3 linked regions of the Diceros bicornis minor genome follow. The protein of the gene in region 1 purifies or fractionates together with the protein of each later gene. This does not show direct contact. Links are inferred from orthologs where the notes say so. Each region holds a gene or a part of one and is shown in the gene's direction. Other genes may lie near its edges.

The links.
Region 2: the proteins of ALK (region 1) and SHC1 purify together in Homo sapiens (affinity purification with mass spectrometry; 3 studies listed by BioGRID and IntAct, with this or other methods). This does not show direct contact. The link is inferred for Diceros bicornis minor from reciprocal best matches to the Homo sapiens genes ALK and SHC1.
Region 3: the proteins of ALK (region 1) and PLCG1 purify together in Homo sapiens (affinity purification with western blotting; 3 studies listed by BioGRID, with this or other methods). This does not show direct contact. The link is inferred for Diceros bicornis minor from reciprocal best matches to the Homo sapiens genes ALK and PLCG1.

The regions. Positions count from the first base shown.
Region 1 is NC_080751.1:53,198,817-53,207,305, forward strand, and holds the start of ALK (ALK tyrosine kinase receptor), read left to right. Parts: upstream 1-5,029; 5' UTR 5,030-5,802; coding exon 5,803-6,475; intron 6,476-8,489. UniProt on the Homo sapiens protein: Neuronal receptor tyrosine kinase that is essentially and transiently expressed in specific regions of the central and peripheral nervous systems and plays an important role in the genesis and differentiation of the nervous system.
Region 2 is NC_080743.1:58,916,773-58,924,286, reverse strand, and holds the start of SHC1 (SHC-transforming protein 1), read left to right. Parts: upstream 1-4,221; 5' UTR 4,222-5,654; coding exon 5,655-6,149; intron 6,150-6,723; coding exon 6,724-6,794; intron 6,795-7,324; coding exon 7,325-7,388; intron 7,389-7,514. Other genes in the region: CKS1B (cyclin-dependent kinases regulatory subunit 1), read right to left, coding at 1,991-2,049. UniProt on the Homo sapiens protein: Signaling adapter that couples activated growth factor receptors to signaling pathways. Participates in a signaling cascade initiated by activated KIT and KITLG/SCF.
Region 3 is NC_080758.1:19,442,810-19,450,464, reverse strand, and holds the start of PLCG1 (1-phosphatidylinositol 4,5-bisphosphate phosphodiesterase gamma-1), read left to right. Parts: upstream 1-4,362; 5' UTR 4,363-4,458; coding exon 4,459-4,675; intron 4,676-7,655. UniProt on the Homo sapiens protein: Mediates the production of the second messenger molecules diacylglycerol (DAG) and inositol 1,4,5-trisphosphate (IP3). Plays an important role in the regulation of intracellular signaling cascades.

The DNA.
Region 1 (8,489 bases):
GAACTGTCACTCTTTAGTGTTTGAGAAGGGCTTTTTCTGTGTCTGTGTGGCCTCTCATAGCGTGCCTTGGGAGGGATGAGAGCTGTCTGAGCTCTTGTGTTGTTTCCCCTATGATGTATGCACAGACTGAGAGGCTGTGCTATCTGTTGGTGACTGGGATCCCAGGGGAATAAGGTCATTTTCCTCCGGGTATCTCTAGTCTGCTAGACCCCTCCTGGTCTAAGTTATCTAATGCAACACTTGCAGGTTTTCTCCTTCCTTGGGAGTCAATGAAGTTGTTTGCTAGACATTTCTAACTCTCTACCTTGTGGGCCCTTCATGATAGGGTAGGACCACATGGATATTTCCAGCAAGAGCTGTGAGTGGAAATGACAAGTGCCCTTTCCAGGCTGGAGTATTTAGTTCTTGGTGCAAGACCCTCCAAGTTTACTATAGTGGCGGCTCCATCAGCCTGGATCCCTAAATGATTATGATGATCAGAGCCCTCTGCTCACCCGAAGTGGATATGGACTATGAGAAGAATATATTTTATTGTTTTTGAGTTATTGAGATTTGAGGGTGGTTTTTTATTATTACAACGTAACCTGGCTATCCTGACTGATAAATTTTCTTTGTAGGAATCAAATTCTATTATTATATAAAACCATTAAAAGTCATTTGTATAAAGAAAAAAAATCACCCACAATTCTGCCACCCCAGTAAGTCTATTTTTCAATGTTTTCCTCTGGTTATGTTTTTTTTTTTTTTTGTATTTGTAATTTTTGCTTAACTGTAAGATAGGCATGAATTCAATTTTGTATTCTGGGTTTTTTTCATTTAATTTTATCAAGGCCTCATGATGGTAAGAACCTTGACTGTTTTGTTCACCACAGTATCTCCCCTCCACACCTTATGGAAAGCCAAGCATACAGTAGGTGCCTAATAAATAATGGTTGAATTAATAACTTTGCTTTCTTCTTAGCATGATGATTATTAGAAGACTGCAGACTATAGATTCAGAGCTCAGGTTTGTCTAGTGGCAGAGACATTTTCTCAAAGGAGTTTTTGTTTTGTTTTATTTTTCCTCTGGCCAGTGATAGGTCCAAGTTCTTTTCCTGGTTCCCCTGAAAGTTCATAGTCTCCTTCTAGTTCCTGTCCCCAGTCTTGGACGAGAGCTTTTAGTCACTTGGAGAATCTCACACAGAATTTCAGAGTGGACATGTGTCTTAAAGACTATATCTGGTCCTTCTAATTTGATACATGAGCCCAGAGGAGCCAAGGGTTTTCCCAAAGTCATAGAGCCTCTGAGAGGCAAGGCTGTGATTGAAATCCACTTTCCTGAACCCAAATCCCCAGTTCATTGGAATGTTTCTTGTGGGTCCCAATTCCTGCTCTTGGCCCTGGGTAAGCTACGCTGGTTGTGGGTTTCCAATGTCTTAGCAGTAAGCATCTTCTCATGCCTTACTTCAGCTTCACTTACTGATTGTTCTCTTGTCTTTTTTCTCTTCCTTCTCCTTCCTCTTTCTCCTGCTCGTCTTCCTCTTTTCCTTCTTTCTCTCCCTTTTCTCCTCCCCCTCCTCCTTTTTCTTGACCAACTGAATGCCTGACTTAATTAATCATCTAGGTCTCAGTCAGATTTTGCAGTTCTGAGATGTGTTTTGCCTTAAGTCATACTGCTTGGATTTGAAATGCCGTTTATATTACTGCTTCCCCTATAGAGAATTCAGACCCCTCCTTAACTGAGTGGTCCACTTCTCCCTTTCCAGAAGTGGGGGATTTCCTGAGGTGGGTCTTGCTGCTCTCAGCATCCACCTTGACCCTTTCCTCTCTTGGTACCTGGTCTTCTCATTTTCCTCCCTCCTCAACTTAACTGCCCAAGTCATTGCCAAGGTGACCCAGAGCAGCTCACCTTATTAGCTGTGTCCTCGGGGCTCCCAGTATCTCCTGTCTGTTCTCCCCGCCACTCCCACCCTCTGTGTGTCTCTTTTTGAGTCAGGCTTTCAATTTCTTCCTCTGTTCACCGCTGCCCATCTCAGCCTATTCCACCCACTCCGTTTTTTGTCTTATGAGGTTGCCCAGGATTTGAGAGCATGGACTTCTTAGTCAGATATCCAGGTTCAAATCGTGTAACAGATCTTGTCACCTGTGTGGTCTTGTTGTTGGGAAGTTGCCCTCTCTGGGCCATTCCATTTGTAATCTGTAAAATAGAGATATTATTACTTCCCCTCAGAGTGTTAATGTGAATATTAAATGAGATAATGCATGAGAATTATTTTGAAATATGCTGGTCCATAATAAGTGCACAAGACGTGTTAGCTATCACTTATGCTCACACTTTTTATCTTTCTATCTCTGTTTGCCCCACTTGCTCTTTCCCATCTTCTGCACATTCTCATCTATACTTTCTTATCTCCCATCCTCTAGATGGCAACGATATAGGATAGAGGTGTCAAAATTATAGCTGTAGGCATAAGGAAAAAGCCTAATTCATTCCAGTGGGACATGTAAATTTTGGAGGAAAAGAATCATTGGTTCGAATTCCAATTTTGTTATTTACTTGCTGTTTGACCATGGGCAAATTATTTTGCCTTTCTGAGCCTTAACTGTTTTGTCTCTTTAATGGAAATAATAATATATATCTTCCTCCAAAAGGCCACTGTGTGATGTGATACACAAACATGTACACACACACAGGCACACACTCCTACAGATACATAAGTATAGTAACCAATAGAGTCTATCAATATTTGTTCCTGCCTCCTTTTTTAAATTAACAAAAAGGGAACAACATTTTTGAGATTAGGTGTGATTTAATCTACAGGGAGAAGCACTTGTCCTTCCTTGGGGGAAATTTGAGAGAATTTATAAAAGTATGAGAATTAATTGAGACCCATGTGTCCACTAGGTGCAAAGGTAAATGGTCATGGATGTTATCTGGGAGAATGTTAAACCCTGGCAGCTCATCTGAAGTTTCAAGTCTCTGCAGCCCCCTAGTGGCCATTGATTATAGCAGAAAATTTATAGTTATTGATAAATTACTAGAGTCAATTTGACTTTGGATAAGAATTATATACAGAAGTAAGAGATGGAGTGGGGAGTGCAACAGCCTGCATTTTAGTACTTTTAGTATTTCAAATAGAAGATTATTCTTCCACCAGTGTGCATGCCAGCGAAATGAAAATGCAAACATATATGCTCACATACTAGGGAAGTGTTCATCTCCACACCCTTTCTTTCCTCTTCTCTTTCTCATTCTCCCTCCCTCCCGCCTTCCTCCACCAAGGTAGGAGCATCATTTCTTCTACTTGGGTCAGATCATTCTTTGTCCTTGAACTTGTGAAGTCAGTGTATCCAGTTTAAGTTTCAAGGAGAGGCCAGTTGCTTGTCAAATTCAGTGAGTTGTCAAACATAGAGGCAGAAGCAAGTCATTCTGAGAATCAATATTCTTTTGTTATTAGGTCTTCCAACTGCCAAAGGCAATAGCACAATGCTCAGAGGAGCCAAGCCTGGGAAAGCAGAGGTCTGCTTGGCCACCACCTCCTGTGGGGCGGTGGGCAAGTTACTGCAGCCCTTTGCGGCTCACTGAGGGAGCTTCAACTCCGCTCTGTGCTCCGACTCTGTGACGAAGCTCTTCTGCTACCTGCCAGGCTTTGAGCTCCTCAAGGGGGGACCTTGCCTTATTTTTAGCTCTGTCAGTTTTCACAAGGCCTGACAATCAACTTTTGAGAAGAAGGAAGGGAAGGATTTGTGTGAACCAGAGATTGTAGTTTTGTCTCAGGTTCTAGTGAACCACTTGTTATAAACACAGCCATTGTCTGAGTTCTGTGTTGGCAGCTCATGAGAGATGAAGGGAAAGAGAGACCAGAGTTACAGTCCTTACTTCACAGGTGAGTTAAAAAAGGCCTGCAGTTCTGACCTCTTACTCCCAAGGCTATGAGCAAGAGTGTCTGATCATTATCCCTTCTAGGTAAGTCACCACGAGATCTTCTTGGCCTCTCGCTAGTGGAGAGATATAGCAGAGCAGTGGTGAGAGCACATGAGTAAGGGCTTGGGAGGCACATATGACTATGTGACCCAAGGAAAATCAATTAAGATCTCTGTGACTCATATTTCTCATCTCTAAAACTGGAATTTCAAATACTTACATTGCAGAGACTAAAGGATACATGTTCAAGCACCATTCTGAGAAAACGCAGGGTGACTGAAAGGTCTGAAATATATTAGTTGTAGCTGAAGAACTCTGCCAGATCGCGGCCGCTCCACACTCTCACCCTGCCAACTTTTCTTGCGTAGATGGTGGGACCACCAGGTTCCCAGGAATGCTTTCAAATAGTGGAAGGGTTAGAGAAGATTCTGTCTCAGGGCCCTAATCCAAGCTGTTCTGGGATTTGGCAATGTCGTGCTGCCCCTCCTCCCTTCCCCTCGCCACCAGTTTTATTCCATAACCCGCTTTTCCAAAGTGGGACCCATTTAATCTCCTAAATGCATAATTAGAAAGAGTGGTTGATTACAAAGGCCCCTTGCAGGCCTCCCATTTATCCAAAACAGGCTCCTGTTCACACAGCGGAGAAATAGGGCAGGGAATCTGGAGGAGGGGAAGGAAGGAGAGAGGGGAGAGGGATGCAGGGCGGGGCGGGCTGTGTGCTTTTCTCAATGAATGCCAAGGCCTCTGCAGATTTGCATAGGAGCCGACCTCGGCGCGCCATTGGTTGGCGGGTGCGAGCGGGGCGGGGCGGGCCTGCGTGAGCCAGGCAGCGGCGCGGAGTTGGCGTTCGAGCCCCGCCCCCGCTGCGGCCGCGGCCCCGCCCCCTCCCAGCGCGCGCTCGCGGCTCCGCCAGCTGCAAGTGGCGGGCACCCAGGCAGATGCGATCGAGCGGCTCTGGGGGCGGCAACGGCGGTAGCAGCTGGCACCTCCCGCCGCCGCTGTCCGGAGGGTCGCGGGGCACCGGGCCGCCTTCTGGCCGCCCTCTGGCCAGCTACCCGAAGTCGCAGAGGCTGCCGATGGATGAGGAGGGGGCCGCGAGATTTCGGCTTCTCTTTCCGCTTTCGTTCCGCTTCTGCCTCCGGGGCCGCTTTGGTGTCGGAGAACTCTAAGGAGACGAGACGCGGGAGGAGAGCAAGGACGCTGCAAACTTGCGAGGCAGCGGCCTGAGCATCTGCTTCACAGCGCGGGGGTTCAATTCTGGCCCAGAAGTTCAGCGAGCAGTGCAGTCCGAAGACTCCCCGCTGCGGAAGGTCGCAGGAGGGTGCGCCAGAAAGCAGCCCGTACCCTCGGTTCCTCCCCAGACGAGAGAGAGGAGCTCAGAGGAACGGAAAGGAGCGCAGGAGGCGTCCAGGACAGCAGACACCAGCTCGGAGCCGCCGTTCCCAGCTGGAAAGTTGCTGAGGCTTGGAGGCTGCTCGAGAGCGGACAGACCGCAGCTCAGGCCGCGGGGGGCGGGACAGGACGCTACCCAATTGCCACCTCCCTTCGACCATAGTAGTTGCTCTCTTTCCAGAGCGCAGCGAGCCACAGACGGGGGCGCGGCTCTCGGCGCGGCGCGCGAAAGGCACAGGGTCCCAGCTGCGAAGCCCTTCGCGCTTCAGGGTCTCTTGACACGCCCCTGAGCTTCCAGACCCGCTTTATTGAGACTCCTGCTCGCCTCCTTGCAATTGGTGGAAAGCAAGAGAATCCAGTGCACGCACAATCCCCCAGAGATCAGGTGGAAGGAGCCATTCAGGACCAAGGACTGTTAGGAGCCCCTTCCCATTTCGGGGGAAGCGAAGGCGAGGCTGGATCCCGGAGAGTCAGGAGACTAGTATAAGCAACCCTCCTCTGGCGGGATGGGAGCTATAGGACTCCTATGGCTGCTGCTACCGCTGCTTCCAGCGGCAGCTTCGGGCTCCGGGACCGGGACGGGGACCGGAATCGGCCAGCTCGTGGGCTCACCAGCCGTGGGGCCGGCGCTGCAGCCCCGGGAGCCGCTCAGCTACTCGCGCCTGCAGAGGAAGAGCCTGGCCGTGGACTTCGTGGTGCCCTCGCTCTTCCGCGTCTATGCCCGGGACCTGCTGCTGCCGCCGCCGTCCTCCTCGGAGCCGAGGGCCGGCCGGCTGGAGGCGCGCGGCTCGCTGGCTCTCGACTGCGCCCCACTGCTTAGGCTGCTGGGGCCACGGCCGGGGGTCTCCGGCTCGCCTGCCCCGGCCCCGGCACGGACGCTGTCCAGGGTGCTGAAGGGCGGCTCCGTTCGCAAGCTCCGGCGCGCTAAGCAGCTGGTGCTGGAGCTGGGAGAGGCGGCGATCCTTGAGGGCTGCGCCGGGCCCCCAGAGGAGGCTGCTGCGGGGCTGCTCCAATTCAACCTCAGCGAGCTGTTCAGCTGGTGGATTCGCCACGGCGAAGGGCGGCTGAGGATCCGCCTGATGCCTGAGAAGAAGGCGTCGGAAGTGGGCAGAGAGGGAAGGCTGTCCGCGGCGATCCGTGCTTCCCAGCCCCGCCTTCTCTTCCAGATCTTTGGGACCGGTGAGCAGCTCTCGCATGAGCGTGTCGGGATTTGATTTTTAGTCACATCAATTTGCAATCACTATCAACTAACCCCCGTTTCCAAAACCTCAGCCTCTGGTTCTTAGCCCTCTTTCCCTCTTTCGCAAACCTTCTCCCCCAGTTAGATCATATTTTCTCCCCGAACGCAGTCAGTCCCCAGGGTCTTCCTTCCTCTCCAGCAACCAAGTTGGGAGAAAAGTTTCCTGGCAGAATTGCAGAATGCCTCCTTCTACCGACTTATACAAGGTCCCAGCCAAAACTGGGTTTCCTTGTTCCAGGGCCCCTGGGACAGTTGAAATGCCCCTATTACTTCGATGTTCCAAGCTTAGTTCTAGATCTCAAAACTATTGCCCTTCTTCCCTCCTCCTATTCCTCTTTTCTGTCAGCACAGATTTGGGGAATTTGGTACACTTTCTCAGGGAATATAGAATTCCTCTTCATATTTTGAATCCTACTCAGCTGTCCCCTCCAAATGCTGGCTTACCTAGGGATTGCCTCTGCTTCATTAATTCATTCTGCCCACCCCTCCACCCCAGTCTGCTATCCATTCTCAGACTCTTGTTCTTCCTCTCAGATGTCGTTGAGAGAACCCCAGAGGAACTAAGGGGCAGGGGACTGGAGGGAGATGTGGAGAGAGGGGGCTAAGTTGCCAAGATTGTCTTGCTTTCGGGGAGTTACTGTGAAGCCAGGGAGAGACAATAGTTGATTTCCCTGCCTTTCTTCCCCTGCCCCCTCCCTTCCCTCCAATTCTTAGCTTGAATGTCTGCAGCAGCAGCTCTGGATGACAGTCTCTGGCAGGCCTGTTTCACTGCAGATCTCTCTGCTGGAGACTCCTGAAATGAGGTTTCTGTTTCATCTCCTTCTCATTTTCTTCTCATATTCACTGAGTTGGGGGTGTGTGTACAGGCACTTACTTCTAACTCTTCCCATAGTATCCTTTGACTGGAAATCCAGGTGGTTTTCAATGGATATTTCTCTTGTAAGACCACTGGGGAAAGACTTGTGAATGAAATATACAATGTAAATGAAGGAGACAGCACAGAAAAGAAATCATGCCTTTTAAAAGCCTACACTAATTCCATTGAGCAAACCCAGTTTCTTTTCTATCATTCTCATCGCCAGAAATAAATGAAATTCTTATGCTCCACTGGTTACTAATGTCTAGTATTAATTGGATGGAAAGCATTGAAAAAGGCCCATTGTAGAGCTACAAGTATCTCCCATGCTTGTCCCAACACACACACACATTCCCACATACACCCAATACTCTCATGCAGGAGAGATATTCAGAAGCTGAGGTTCCTCAGCCATTGCACAGAACACATACTGGTATGTGGTCCCCAAGGAAAACAGAGTATGGATGCATATTTCAGCATTGGCATTAGTGGCATTGGCCTCTAAAATGACCCCTTTGTGTTCAATGTTTGAATTTATATTAGTCCATAGTAAGAGGCAGGGTCTGATGAGTTTAATAGTGCCTTCTGTGAGCTGAGATAGGAGACCAATACTGTTGTCTCACCACAGATACTTTTGTAAAGAACAGCAGTGCTTTAAAGTCATTGTGGCTTCTGTGGTTTATACATGCAACATTCTCTTTTAGTGCCTAATGTTTTTGTAATGGATATAAAAATGACTTCTCTAAAAATGCAGATTTTCTTTCACTTTCATGTCTATGAGCATCTCTGGAGCTTTCCCATCATCTCTTGTTAAATGACCATAGGTCCCAGTAGTCTATATCAGCTATTGTCAGATGTTGGTGACAGGAAAAAGGGGTCTTTTCTGCAGCCCTGAACTTGCCTACTGTATACAAGCAGGTAGCGTGAAGTTATCAGTGGATGTCTCTAAAGAGTCCCACGCTTAGTGCATTTGAAGAATATATTCCAGTCAAGCCTTAGATAAGGAGTTGAAGCTGCTGAGTGGGAGAGTTTCATGTAGAAAGGAGTGTGCTCCAAGAGCTGCTCTCCCACTGGCAGTAGGGAAGCACTATGAGCAT
Region 2 (7,514 bases), on another chromosome or scaffold:
TTAGACAAGGGCCTGCATACAAAGCCAAGAGGGGAAAGAAAAGAGAAACCGGTTTCTGATGGCAAAGAGTTTATATAATCTTATTGTGGGGTAGAGGCAGCTAGAAGTAAAGGCCAAGTTATGTAAATCCTCACAAAAGTATATTAACAAGTACAACCTAATGAATAACCCAAGTGAACAAGCACCTGAGTTCCAGGCATGTTGATACACTGCCTCTGCCTTCTCAGGGCTTACAGTCTTCCAGTTGATTACCCTAAAACAATATAATGGGAGCCCCACAGCACACACACTATTAATTATTAAAGGTGGTTTGGAACAGGATTGGTAAGGAGGGGAGAGAGGTGATTTTGTGGACAAGAAAGGCCTATTATGGAGTGCTGTGTGGAACAGCCATCACAAAGGATGAAACACAAATGTCTTATCCTTTAAAATATATCCTGAATCTCATTTTCCTAACTCTGAAGGGATGTGCCATGAGACGTCTTTTGGGAAACTCCATGTTCCCCCAACCAAGATAAGTCTTCTTTCATGGCAAAGAAATTATTACCCTGACTTCAATCAGGCTAACCCAGATCAACTTCATCACGCTCAGTGAAAATTTACTAAATGCACTCTCTGTGCTAGTAACAGACATTTTTCCAAAGAGATAATTCTAGTCTAAATGTCTGAAAATAGCTTATATTCTAACAAGCCCCTGGCACAAAGTTTGGCTTCAATACCTAATTAGACCAAGGGGAAAAAAAAAACAAAACAGAAAACAACTTTCTTAAGCCAAAATACCACTGCCAAGACTTACATCTTCCAGAGGATCAAACTAGTGACTTCTCCCTAGTCCTGCAAAGATGTTATAGGCAGTTTTAGTTAGCTTAGCTCAGATGTAGAGGAAAACAGCTGAGGAAGACAGTTAACTGGATCCAAGCAGAGCCTGGGGTCTTTTCCCAAGGACCTGGCATAAAGATGGTTATGTATCTGTCAGCACACACCGAGTTCTCCCTGCATTATGTTGGAGAAGAAACACAAGAAAAGCAATTTCCATTCTATGTTCTTCAGTTGAGAAGATACAAACTAGGAAGTTGTTTAAAGTATTACACCTAATACAGGTTAGTGGAATGACAACATTTCTAGAATTTTTGTCTTCTCTAATTTTCCAATCTAGAATTATGGATTTAGGATTTATCAAATGCAAACTCCATAGGGATTCCTTTCTTCACCATCCTTGGCCAAGTCCTATCTCTACCATAGGTGCTCCCATCTCTATCATACCAATTATCACTTTTTTCTGAAGTCTGTCAGTATTTCACAGATTTGTAGGTTTGTTGAAAGCAGAGACCATGGCTTACCCTTGCACTTTAGCAGAACACCTGAAACCTATAAGCACTCCATAATTGTTTCCTAAATAGATGCCCTTCAAATATTTGAAGGGCATGTATTAGGTTCATGTTAAGTCTTTTTTCAATGTTCCTGGCCAGTTTTATTCCACTCCAATTCCTCCAAGCTCCTTTCCTAAAACAAGCCAGACAACTACGTCCCTTTTCCATGAATTAATGAGCAGCACTCAGGCTCTCTCAGAACTCCCCTCGCATTGAAGACGCGAGGAAAATTCGAGCTCCGCCTTTGCCACCTTTTCCCAGTAGGCTCTAAGGTTCTATGGTGTTGCCGTGATACGAGCAGTCAGGGCAAGTTCAACTTGCTCAATAAAGTTGAAGGTTCCAGAAACCCGCAAAGGTGAAGGTGGTCAGCAAGCTAACACTCTAACCACGCCCACCTACACCTCCTCCCAACAGGGTCGACTCCAAATTCACTACCACTTTGTTTCTTTTACAATCACCGCCCACCCTTCGCGCATGCGCCTTACGCTCTCAACTATCACGCCCGTCCCGTTAACCTCCGCGCATGCGCCGATTCTGTCGCTTCAGTCCCTGTTACTAACTCCTTGGGTCCTCATTTGTCAAAACTCACGACCTCGTTATGGCCCCCCGCCAGCACTAACCGGTATTCGAACTCCTCGTCGTCGTATTTGTCCGAATAGTAAATTTGTTTGTGCGACATGATCACTCTGCCTGAAGACCGCCAGCTCCGCGCCGCCAACCTCCAAACAACTCCCAGCAGCACGCGCTCCCACCCTCCTTGGCCTCGCTTTCAAACACGCCGCTCGCGCTTCCTATTGGCCCCTTTGGCTTAAGGCGGGACAAGTCCACCTTCAAGCCTCCGATTGGCTTGGATTTGCTTCTCCTCGAGTCCTTATTGGAGTGCACTTCTTACGTTTCTCAAGAACGAGCGTAGCTCAAAAATAGGCCTCTTATTGGCTGTCGCTGCTCCCGTGCGCGTTCTCGCGCTGCCATTGGCTGATTCGGGAAAGTGGGACGGGTGAAGGAGGGACGGTGAGGTAGAGGGTCAGGGGTTAGTGAGGCCGGAAGTGAGTGCAATAAAGTTTCTCCAGGGAGGCCAGGCCCGGGGAGAAAGTTGGAGCGGCGACCTAAAGAGGCAGTGGCGTGATCCGGCACCAAATCTGCCCGCGGTGCGGTGCGGAGACTCCATGAGGCCCTGGTGAGTTGGGACTTTTTTTTCTCTTTTGATGACCCACTCCTCCACCCCGGAACCCCTCTCCGGGGACCCTACTTCCGGTCTTCATCTATAAGTCCCGCCCCCAAGACCCCCTCTCCGGAAGTCCCACCTCCCAACTTCAGGGGGCTCCCCGAATCCCCACTTGTTTTATATTTATTGTCTCGGACCCCACCCTGTCACCCAGTTTTCCTGGAAGTCCCACCCCCAGACACGCTTCCAAGGCCTACTACAAGAAGCCTTACGTTAGTCCTTCCAACTCCCCGAAACTCCGCCTCCTCGCGACGATTCTCCGCTAACTCCTATCAAAAAGCCTATCTCCCAAAAGCGCAAAACCCTGCCCCTCACAGAACTACTGTATTCGAATTCGTGAAGCCACGCCTCCCTATGGGCGCCGCCCCTCTAGAAGCCCCGCCCCTTCCTCAATCTACATCTGATTGTCCAGAAGCCTCGTCTCCTAGAAGTGTCTGATGCACGCGTGCTAGGGGACCACGCCCCCTCAGGAGCTTTATCCCTGTGGGACCCAGGTCACGCCTTAGAAGCTTTGTCTTCAATCCCAGAAGCTCCACCTGTTTCTCTTTTGGGCATTGGGCTCAGTTTCCTGAGCTCTCATGCTCCACCGCGTGGGAAGTCAAAGTTCCCAACGCTGGCTCTGAGGAGTGCGAGATTAGAGGCAGCCGTTTTCCTCTCCCTTACCCCCTTCCAAGGCTGGACCTACTTGAAGGGGGCTGGACTTGGGGTTTGGCAAGAGAGTGGGAGAGAGACTTGCTCATAGATTCCCAGCCCCACTCTGAGTTTCCCTTCCCAGGACTGACTCCACCCCAGAAACAGCTGTGTCTCATACCTGTACCTCGGGAGCTGGGTGGGGCCATGGATTTGCTGGTGTGTGACGGGAGCGAAAGTTTTCTACCACCAGAAAACGGTAGCTTGGAGTGGGTGTAGGGGACAGTGTCCTTTTTTGCTGTTTGATTCTTTTAAGGGACTCCTCAGCCCCCACCACTTCTCTGGCTCTTCCCCTTCTCCTAACCAGAGTTATTGTCTGGGCATTCCTCCTGGTCCCGCTTACCCAGCCTTCCCTTCTGGAAACATTCCTGAGGCTTTCGCCATTTCCTGCTACTTCCCACTGCTCTTGCCTCCTCCTCCCTGCTGGGCTGAGAAGCCACACGCAGCTTCTGCCCCTCACCCAATCACTGGGACTCCCAGTAGGCAATCTCCTTTTTTCCTATGCAAATGTTAGGAGCCCTACTTCCTCTTTCTTTTCTTCCAAATACCCACACCTGTTGGCCATTCCCTGCCTCTAGATCCTGCAGGCTCCCACAGAACGCCAATCTCTAAAGATGAGGACATCCTGGTGTGTGTGAGTTGAGGGTGTGAGCCTATGGCAGAATCCTTTCTTCATTCTCTCTGTCCCTGAGCGCAGAGGCCTTAGGAAAAGCAGTGATAGAATTCCTTCTCAGGAGTGGTAGATGGAGTGACAAAACTCTCCTTGGATGAGGACCAAGGGGAGCTGAAAGAGTTTAGCACAGTGTCTAACACGTTTTAAGTGCTAGTAGTGGCAATCACTATAATCTTATGATTATTTGTGAATTTTTATCTTCTGAAGTAAATCTAAGAGTAGAGTAATTCCGAGGTGAGCCTGGGAGGTAAATGTATTTTTTACTATTTATTTTTTGGTTACTTTCCAACTTCCTCCATGGCCCCTTGAAGCAGAGCTGTGGCAGGAAGTGTGGGTGGAAGGAATGAGTTTGGGACTGTTCCCTGTGTCCAGCATCAGCCCATCTTCTCCTGTCACCCTTTTCTCCCGTACTTAGCATAGATTTGTCTTCTGTCCCCTCTATCCCTTCATGGCCTGTAGCACCCACTTCTCTTGGAGAACTGTTTCACTTTCCCACCTCCTCTGGCCAGATCCTGCCCCTGATGTGAGGGGCACTGTGCTCTATGGTGGACACCTGCACCCTCCCCAGTCACACTACAGGAGGAGTGTGAGCATACCTGGCAAGTCCAGGGAGCTGAGCTTAGTGTCAGTGCCCTGCCCACCCCCCCACCTCCCTTCTACCCTTGACAGCTTGCTTTGCTAATGAGGCTTGTGGAAAGGAGGGACAGAAGAGTGCTTGGCCGTGGGCCGCTGCTCCTTGGCATGGTAGGTGCCATGCATAGAGAACAAGGCTCCCTCAGCCTGTCCTCTGCTCCAGCTCCTGCCTGGTGGCTCCCTGATGCACCGCCCAGGTTGGATGTTATTTTCCTTACTTCACCAGCTTTGCCCTTCCTCTTGGCCCCTCTGCATCCGCTGGGACCACTTCCTTCCTTTCCCGTTTCTTTAGCTCCAGTCCACAGCTGTTGTAACAGAGGATGCTAATGGCCCAGGCTCCCTGGGGCCACCACCCCACTGTGTGGTAGTGGTGGGGGGTGGCCTGGGCTGGAGGATGGGGGAATTTGAGTGTTCAACCAGGATAGGAAGGGAAATGCTGAGCTCAGGGATCCCCTCCCTTTTCCACCCCCAGCTGTCTCTGTTTCCTCCCTCATTCCCCTCTACCCTCCCTCAGCTTCCTGCTCCCTTTGGCCTGCCCATGTCCGGTTTGGATTGATCTAGACCTCCTCTTATCTCCCTCCTTTCCTTTCACTCCTCCGTCCTTCCCTCCCACACCCACTCCCACTTTACTCCTCCCCAGATTACTAATTGTTTGTATGGGGCAGGGGGGCATGGAGAGTTCTACCCCTGCAAGGGTTCTAGGTTGGGGCACTGGTGGGGGCTCAGCCCCTCGGAGCCTGTGAGTCAGCACTGTCCTCGGGATTGGTCTCTCCCCTTAGCTCCCCGCCCCTGGGGAGGAGCCAGGCAGCTCTAGGTCCAGCCTGGTCTCTCTCCTCTCAGCCAGAGAAGAGGCTCCACGCTGGGCATAGATGGGGCCTGAAACTGTCTGGGTCTGAGCGGGGGAGCCAGAGCCACTCGTCCCTCTCCCTTCCCAGGACCCCTGAGATCTCTGGGCCATAGAGGTCCGATCAGGCTAAAGGCCTGGGGATGCCCCCTGCCTGGCCCCCTTGCCCTGACTGGCAGGGGGGCCGGGCTGGGCAGCAGCCTCCCTCTCACTCCAGCCATGGATCTCCTGCCCCCCAAGCCCAAGTACAACCCACTTCGGAATGAGTCTCTGTCATCGCTGGAGGAGGGGGCTTCAGGGTCCACCCCACCGGAGGAGCTGCCTTCCCCATCAGCCTCATCCCTGGGGCCCATCCTGCCACCTCTGCCTGGAGACGATAGTCCCACTACCCTGTGCTCCTTCTTCCCCCGGATGAGCAACTTGAAGCTGGCCAATCCGGCTGGGGGGCGCCCGGGGCCCAAGGGGGAGCCAGGAAGGGCAGCCGAGGATGGGGAGGGGATCTTAGGGGCAGCCATGCCGGACTCAGGCCCCCTGCCCCTCCTCCAGGACATGAACAAGCTGAGTGGAGGCGGCGGGCGCAGGACTCGGGTGGAAGGGGGCCAGCTGGGGGGCGAGGAGTGGACCCGCCACGGGAGCTTTGTCAATAAGCCCACGCGGGGCTGGCTGCATCCCAACGACAAAGTCATGGGACCGGGGGTTTCCTACTTGGTTCGGGTGAGTGAACATCTTCCCTCCTACTCCCTCCCAGACCCCTGCAGTTCCTCTGCTCACTTCAGCAAAGCTGGAGTCTTTTTTTCCTGCTCTCCCCCAACAACTCCCTTGGTTTCAGTGTCCTGTTTGTTAAACCTTTCTTGCCCCTCCTCCAATTCTGTAGTCCCTTCCTTTCCAGCTCTGCCTGGGCCCCCTTCCTTCTTGTGACTCTCCCACCCCCGCCCTGCCATGCTTAGCACAATGCCCAGCACATTGAAGGCCTTAGTAAGTGTTGGAATGAGTGACTCTTGATTGTCCCCTCCAGTCTCCTCCCCCTTTCTGGAGATGTCACTCCATCCCACCTAATGCCTGTCACTCCCCTCCAAATTCTCTTCCCAGATGCATGAGGTCCTCCTAGCCTGCCCTTTCCTTTTCCCCTCATTCCCTGTTGTCTTGCATGTTGTGGGATGTAGCCACGGGCAGTGGGCAGAACTTCATCTTTACTTCCCTTAGGGACAACGTAGGGGAAAGTCCTAGGGCCCTTTGAAGGGGTTGGGGGGAGGCGGCTGACTTGTTATCCTCCCATCCGTCCCCTCAGTACATGGGCTGTGTGGAGGTCCTGCAGTCAATGCGTGCCCTAGACTTCAACACCCGGACTCAGGTCACCAGGTTAGTGGGGGGCGGGGGGGGGCGGATTATGGAAGTCCTGGGATTAGTGCGGGGAGGTGGGAAGTGGGTCACTTGGTGGTGGTGCTAGTGATGGCTTATCTTAGGGTGGTAAAGGGGAGTGAGAGAAAGTTAGGGGAGTAAGTCTAAGTCTGAATGAAAAGAGGCAACTCTGGCCTGGATCCTCCTTACTTATCCAGCCTGGGGAGCTGTGGGGGAGGTGGCAGAGGCAGCTGGCAGCTGGAGCTTGAGTAGAAAATGGGGGTAGATGGAAGGTTGCTGCTGCCTTTGGGAAGGGAATGGGACATTTGGTAGCTGGAAAGGGGTGGGGCCATACCCATTGAGGCCCTAACCCAATCAGCCAGGAAGCGGCCTCTCAGTGTCATCAAATATTAAAGGCCCTTAATTCAATCCACCACGACAGAGAGCCTGGAGTGCCCTGGGAGTCTGGCCTGGTCTTCCCCTCCCCCAGCCCTGGGGCAGCCCCAGCCAAGTGGAGGCAAGCCTGGGTCTGAGTACCCCTCTTTCCCCAGGGAGGCCATCAGTCTGGTGTGTGAGGCTGTGCCGGGTGCTAAGGGGGCCACAAGGAGGAGAAAGGTACCTGGGGTCGATGGGCTAGCGGTGCTGCTGGGAGATGTGGAGGAGCAGGGGAAAGCAGGTGGGGGGCAGGATTGTGGTGGTCTCTTGGTGTTGGGAACCCCCAGCTTCTAAGACCCTTGGGCC
Region 3 (7,655 bases), on another chromosome or scaffold:
TAAGTACTTTAAACTTTTTTAAAGGACTGGAAAAGAATATATTTGTGGTGGGCAGTGATGTGCCACTCAGATTCCCCTTCAGGGAAGCACTTGTTGCCCAACTGCTGGGAGACCTGTCAGCCCCCTAAGATCACCTCAGCTGCAGAGAGCTGTCTAGCAGAGGCTGTGCTCTTCCCAGGGCAGCCCACATCCAATGGCTGATTGAGGCGGGGCTATGAAGGCCCAGCCATTTCAAGCCAGCACCGGACCACAGAGCTCCCCAGGGGCTGGCTGAGGCTGTCATCAGGCCTGCCTCACAGTCTAACTACTCTCTGTGCCTCCTCCTGCTTCCTTCCTTCCCCTTCCACAGTGTTGAGCCCAAGGGCACTCCCTAATAAACATTCTTCACACTAACCTCTGTCATAGAGCCTGCCTCCCAAAGAACCCAACCTGTGACAACATTTAACCAAATAAATAAAAATAGAAAAGACATCAGGTAGGGGTATCATGGAAAAGGGTGAGGATACACAATAAAATGTTCATACCTATATGGGAGGCAAGGTAGCATTGACTCTGGAGCCAGGCTGCCTGGGTTTGAATCCCATCTCTGCCACCTCTTAGCTGTGTGTCCATGAGCATGTCTCTTAATCTCTCCATGCCTCGGTTTTCTCATCTGTAAAATGGGGATAATAAGAGTACATATCTCACTGTGCTGTAATGAGGAGTAAGCCAATGTGGGTAAAGCAGTTACATAAGGCTTACAATATGTCAAGCACTGTTCTAAGTGTTCGGTAAATAAGATAAAATAAAATAAACACCTATGAGGTCCAGAGGGACATTGGGCTAGGACTCCTCCCTAGACTCCAGGCACAGGTGTGGTGTGGGCCAGAGCATGTTAAAGCACGAGTGTTGACAGAAATAGGCCCAAGCAGGGCTAGCCTGGGCAATGTCATGGGCGTGTGCCTCGTGTGGGTGCTGGGCTGCTCCCTCCCAGCCGGTCCAGCTGCACACATTGCCAGTTACACCCACGTATCCATATATATATGCTGAGCTGGGGGAAGCCCATACTAGCCATACCCGCTGTGTGACCTGCTTTTCCTGAACCTCCTTTGGTGGAGGGAGGCACCTGAGGCCTGGGATGCTGGCTCAGAAGTCCCAGGAGGAAATGGGGCCCTGTTTCCTGATTAAGGGCCCGGCAGCAGACTGACAATATGAGCTCCTGTTGGCAGGGATTTCTGGAGCCCCTGGGGGCCCGGCTCCGGAGGCAAAAGCAAAAGCAAAAGCAAGGAAGTATGGGCTGCATGTCGGGAAGCTCTTAGAAAATGGAGAAACAGAGATTTTAAAAGGGCATCACGGCCTGCAGGCTGCCCAACTCGGCACAAGAAGCTAAACGAGGGCTGTAGCACTTAGGAGGGGACCTCCTGGAAAGATGGACAAGACCACATAAGCACAGAGGGGCCCCCACCTGTCTTCCTGGCCTCATCACCTCCCATGCTCCCCCTCACTTAGCAAACTAACCTTCTTTCTATTCCTAAACTCACTAAGTTCTTGCTGGCCTCAGGGCCTTTGTACATGCTGTTACCTCTGTCTGGAAAGTACTTTCCTCCAACCCACCTCTGATAATTCACCTGGCCATCTACTCACATCCTTTAGGCCTCTGCTGAGTCCTGGAGAAGTCTTCCTTGTCTACTAGATCTGAAGGAGGTCTCCTTAAAGTTTTATCTCATGGCCCTCTGTTCTTTTCCTCTGTAGCCCCCATCAAAATTGTCCCTACATCACAGAGTGTTTATCTGTTTAATGTCTATGAATTCCTGGAGTGCTGATGCTGGGTTTCCCTCATTCTCCCAACTCACGGCACCAATGTCTAGCACAGGGATGTTCAGAGGCCACAGACAGGGGCAGCATCACTTTAAGCCCAAGCCAGCCCAACCCACACTCTATGAGCATACACATTCTGCTGAGTTCCCTGTGCCCAGGGCCAGCCATGCCTAGGGCCTCCCCCACCCATCCTGATTAGCCAGCTAGCCTCCGTGCCCACTGGCTATGGACCGCCAGGACCTATTTAAGCCAGTGGCTCTCTTGTGAGGCAGAAAATGCATGGAGTCAGACAGACTTGGGTTCAAATCCCCATTTATTAGTTATGTGGCCTCAGAGCAAGTTGTGGATCTTCTCTGAATCTCAGTTTCCTCATCAGTAAATTGGGGACAATAATCCCTAATTAGAGGGTAATTATGAGGATCAGGTGTGACCACATGTGTACGCATTATAAGCACTGGGTCAACTTTAGTTACCTCCCTCCCACTTTAAAGGCCCGTCACTAGGTGGCAGACCATCTCAGCCACTCCACCTCCCCTTAGGTGGCTGAAGCCTATTAGCACAAGCATCTCAACTTGAGGCTGAATTCTCAGCCTCTTAGGGGCCACACTTGAGGGAATCAAAACATACACACACAAGTTACCACTACATCAACACAAAGCCAGAGGCAGCCCCAGACACTAGTCACCACCCAGCTGGGTAGAGTGCCTGAGCACACACTCACATACTCACAAACTCCAGGAAACCTGGATCTTCCTCTGGCATCAGCTGGGGGCTCTGCCGGGCTTCTCTCCTCTGAAATGAGGTAAGCTGTCCTGCTCTGCCTGGCTCAACATCTGTCAGCCAGGTTCCACTGTGACCGCAGGTGTTTTCGGTTTTGGCGGTGCGGGGCAGCCAGATTGCAAGGGCGAGTCTAAAGAATGGCTTCAGGAAGACAAAGAGTGTGAATCATTCAAATAAGCATAAAAAGGACTTGTGGCTGGAGAGTGGAGAGTGAAGGGGAGGTGGTGAGAGATGAAGTGGGGGAGAGAGAAAGGAGAGAGAAAAGGGCCAGACCATACAGGACTGGCTGGGCCAGGAAGGGAGTGTGGATTTTATGTGCAATGGGAAGTCACAAAAGGGTTGAGGACAGAGGTAGGGGATCATGATTTAGTTTCATTTTAAAGATTAAAGCATGGAGAACAGATGCAGGCAAGGCCAAGGGTAAACAGACCAGGTGAGAAAAGATGGGCCTTGGGCTTGTGGGTGTAGTAGATACCTGAGGGTAGAGTGACCTAGACTTGATGGACTGCTGTGGGGTTGAGGCAGAGAGAGGAATCAAGGATATGTCCAAACGGTTTTGGCCTAAGCACCTTACAGGAGTTTATGCCGTGTTCTGAGAAAGCAAAGACTGTGGGAGGCGCAGTTGGAGGAGGGAGGTGAGATGAGTGTGTTAAGTGGGGACGTGGAGCAGGCAGTGGGATGCAGGGGAAATACAGATCTGGCGCTCCAGGTGCCTGGGTTGGGGGTGAAGCCATGGGAAAGGTCAGGTCGCCTTGGGAACTGGCTCAGGACCCAGCCCAGAGGAAGAGAAGCTTCTGAGGCCGAAAGGCAGCGGCCAGAGAGGGAGGAGGAAAACAAGGGGAGTCAGGCCAGGAAAACAAAAGCTCCGCAGATCATTTGCAAGGGGGGGCGCGGTGAGGTAAGGCCTGAGCCCGCGCCCTGCCGCGTGGAGACAGGGCGGGAGGTGGGCGGGCAGTGGCCCCTGCGAGGGGCAGAGAGGAAGGTCGCCGGGGGCCGCAGGTCTAAAGGCCCTGCAGGCGATGCTCAGGCCGAATGACGGGACCCTCCAAAGCTACACAGGCCAAAAGCGCTGGACAGACGCGGGTCCCGCCGTCGCAGGAGCGGCCTGCGGTCCAGCCCTGCGGGACCAGAGAGGAGGGGCAAGACAGGCCTGCTGTCCATCAGAGCCCGCCGGCCAATCCGCAGGCAGCCCCGCCCCCGCCCCTCCCCTGAGAGGGCGCGCGGAGGACCCGCCGCCGCCGCCGCCGCCGCCGCCGCCGCCGCCGCGGGTGTGAGGCGGCCCGGCCTGGCCTGGGTCCCTCCGCCGGGCAGCCCGCCCAGGTAATTAGGTTTGGCCGGCGGGCCCGGGGGTAGCTCCGCATCCTCACCTCCTCCCGGTCGCGGCACGGGCGGCGCTCGGGAAGCGGGGCTGAGGAAACGGCTGCGGCTGGGCCTGTGCGGGACAGCGGAGTGGGCGGCCGCCTGTGCGTGTGCGACTGACTGCCGGGTCGGTGCGAGGCTGCCGCGCGTGGCGGGTCGGCAGTGGCCGCCAGGCCGTGTCCGGGGCCACGGGAGGGAGCCCCGCAGGACGGAGGTCGGGCTGGTGGCCCGCCGGCGGCGCGCGCGCTCCCGCCGCCATTGCGCCCCGGGCCTGTCCGGGGGGTCGCGGGGCGCAGGCGCGGCGGGCGGCGGGCGGGGGTCCTCCCCACGGGCGTGCGGGCGCCTTTGTTCCCGGCGCGCGGGCCGGGGCGGGGCCTGCGGGGCCGGCCCGCCCCCCACTCAGGCCCGCCCCGTCTCCGCCCGCAGGAGCCGCCGCCGGGGCCCGCTCGCCAGCCGCCTGAGCCGTCGCCGCCGCCGGCTCCCCCCTGCCCGGCCTGCGCCGCCGCCCCCCGCGCCGGAGCCATGGCGGGCGCCGCGTCCCCCTGCGCCAACGGCTGCGGGCCCGGCGCGCCCTCGGACGCCGAGGTGCTGCACCTCTGCCGCAGCCTCGAGGTGGGCACCGTCATGACTTTGTTCTACTCCAAGAAGTCGCAGCGGCCCGAGCGGAAGACCTTCCAGGTCAAGCTGGAGACGCGGCAGATCACGTGGAGCCGCGGCGCGGACAAGATCGAGGGGGCCAGTAAGTGCGCCCCGTCCCCGGGGCCCGCTGCGCGCGCGGGGGCGGTAGGGGTCGGCGCCCGGCTCCCGCGCGCCCCGGCCGGCCGGCCGCTGGAGTGACTTGGGCAAACTTTCAGGCCCTCCCCGCACCCTCCGGGTCCCGCCCCCGCCGCGGCCCCGGTGGTCACCGGGGGCGGGGGGCATCCGGGTCTTCAGTCACCTGACAGGACGCCCCCCTCCCCCAGCTCGGGGGAGTGTTCCAGGCGCTTTGCCCAGAAGCCTCAAGATCCTAGCGGGTTGGAGAGCAGTGGGGCAGGCATCGGGTCCCCCACACCCCGGGAGTGGTGTCCGCCGAGGCGAGGGGAGCCAAGGCAGCATCCCCCACCCAGGCCCAGGACTTGGGCCAGACCGGACGATCACCGCCCACCACCCTTTCTCCAAAAAGTGCAGTTTTGGTGAAAGCCGCTGGGACCCCGGGCTGGGCTCTTATTTGCAAAGGAACCTTTGGGTCACCGAAGTAGAACTTAGGCAGATGTTGAGGTAGGGCTGGTTTTGGAGCAGAGCCGGGCCTACTCGTCCCCCTCTGGTTTGGAGAAGCCTGAGAGAAGACAGTGGCAGCTTTTTCCCGCTGCTGCTTTTGTCCTGAAGCTGAATTTTGGAGGTCTGTGTGGGTGGGCAGAGACACCCAAAGCCAGTGCAGGGACTCTTGGTCAAGGGACCAGGCTCCCCGTACGCTTGGAGCTTGGTCCCAGAAAGGCCAGCCTCTGTGCTATATGGAATCAGATGCTCTTTTCAAGAGCTCGCAGCCTGTTTGGGGTCTAGCCCTTTGTGTCCTGCGTCCCCTGGCTGCAGGGAGCCGGGAGCGGCTACTCTTGATTTCCTGCCTCTTTGCCTTCCCAGGCCTGAGCTTGCTTGCCTTTGTGCAGGTCTCAGTTGGGAGGAGGGAGTTGGGGGATTTTGAAAAGCCCCATATATTTCAGAGTGTTACTCCACTTAGCTTGTGTCTGTGCCATGACCAGATGGGCACCCAGCTTTGCCCTCCATTCCTCAGCCTCCAGGTGTGAGAGATGATGTGTCTGCAACCCCACACTGTGGGTTGCTTCCTGCAGGGACCCCCAGAGACTGGTGTTAGAGCCAGGCTCAGAACTAGGTCCACGTGGAGGAAGGAGGGTCAGGAAGCGACACCCCCAAGGGAAGCTCCTACAGACCTCCTTGGGTATGGTGTACATGCACACAGATGGTTGAGGAGATTAGGAGGAAGGAAGGTCTTGTGGTGAGGCAGCCGTCCTCAACTACAAACTCCAGATCTGACACAGTTGCTGAACTTAGAAATGGCAGCTGCCCTCCTCCATGCCCCCATCGCCCTGTCAGCCATTTGGAGAAAATTTTAGTGATTTGAGAAACTGGATTCCGAAGTGGAGGAAGACAGACACTGCAGAGAGCTGAGATAGTCCCGGGAACATCACCCAGGCATCAGACTCCAGGCATGGCCCCTTGCTTCTGTGGTGCTCCCTGTGCTCTGCTGAATTGGTGTCACTGGTTCCCAGTTATTGGCTGGAGGTTCCCAGGTAGAGATCTCCTGGGTAACAGGCTGCATTTCAGACCAGGTGCGTGACCAGCAGCTAATAAGTGCAGCACAGTGGTTGAAGGCAAGGCTGGATTTGAAGCCCATATATTAGTTGTGTGTCCCCGGCCAGTTACTTACCTTCTCTGAGCCTTAGTTTCCTCAACTGTAAAATGGGAGTAATATATCGACTGTATATGGTTGTTCTGGGCATTAAATGAGAAAATTGATGTAACAGGTAAATAGCACAGTGCCTGACACGTTGTAAATGTTTAATAAATATGAGCTGTTATTAATAATAACAGTAACAGTAGTAGACTGTGGCTGCCCTCCTAGACCCTGGACTGGGAATGTTGAGGGAGTTGGAGAGTGGCTGTCGGAGCGGGTGAGGGTGCAGGAAGGGAGGAGGATGGGGACCAAGTTCATATTTCACTTAGATCACTACCCGGAAAAGGGGAGGAAATGGTTTTGTTTTGCCCCAACCCATCTACTCACCCATCCACCCACCATGGAGAACAGTGTATAGAGTAAGTATATGGAGATGTACACATCTGACTTCTGGCTGTGACTTTCTTATTTGTATGTTGGGGCCTGAACAGAAGGAAGGGGTGTGGAAAGGGAAGAGTTTAATCCATGGTGTCTCAGGTCTTTGGGGGATGGAGGTAGGAATGCAGAGGACCTGATGACCCCAGTCCCCAAGGGTGGGTCAGCCAGAGGGGTACAAATTCAGTGGTCTCATCAGTTAGCTGGGATTTGAGAGGCCTGGAGCGTAGGCACAGGGCATAGAAGGTGCCTTGGCCCTTTGATTTTGGAGGCCTGGATTGAAGGAGTCTGGTAAAAAGGCTCTTAGGTGCTTATGTGCAGCACAGACCTTGGAGATGGAGCCTCCCACTGAGCTGCCCTACTTTGCCCCTTCATGAGCACACGTCGTTGGTGCTTCTGATCCCAGCAGCCACCCTCTGCGGGCTCTGAGGAAGGTTGGGCTGCCAGCTGGGTCCCCTGCCACCTAGCCCCTTGCCCAGGTGCCTCAGGTGCCTGGCCTTTTCCTGCTGACCCTGCCAGGGTACCACACAGTGCCTGTAGCCTGACCAAAGAGAGAGACACTTCTGCTACCCTCAGGGTGTCCGTGGCCCTGAAAGAGAGCCAGTGTGATGCAGTGGGCGTGCACAGCACTCGTGTATAGTCCTCGTTCTGGCGTAACTCTCAGCCCGCTCACTTTACCACTTGTGAAATGGGGCTGGCAGCTGCTAATTTCTAGGCAGGTAGTTTGGCTCAAAAGAGGGGTGGGGAAGTGCTTTGGTGCCCGTTGTCATGGTGGCGTGACAGGAACCAGGTTGATGTTTGGCTTTTTATGTTGCAGATACTGACATAAATGAATACAAACCAGTTATAGACTTCCTGCTGTGTGCTTCTGAAACTTCACCACTTTTTCTTGGCT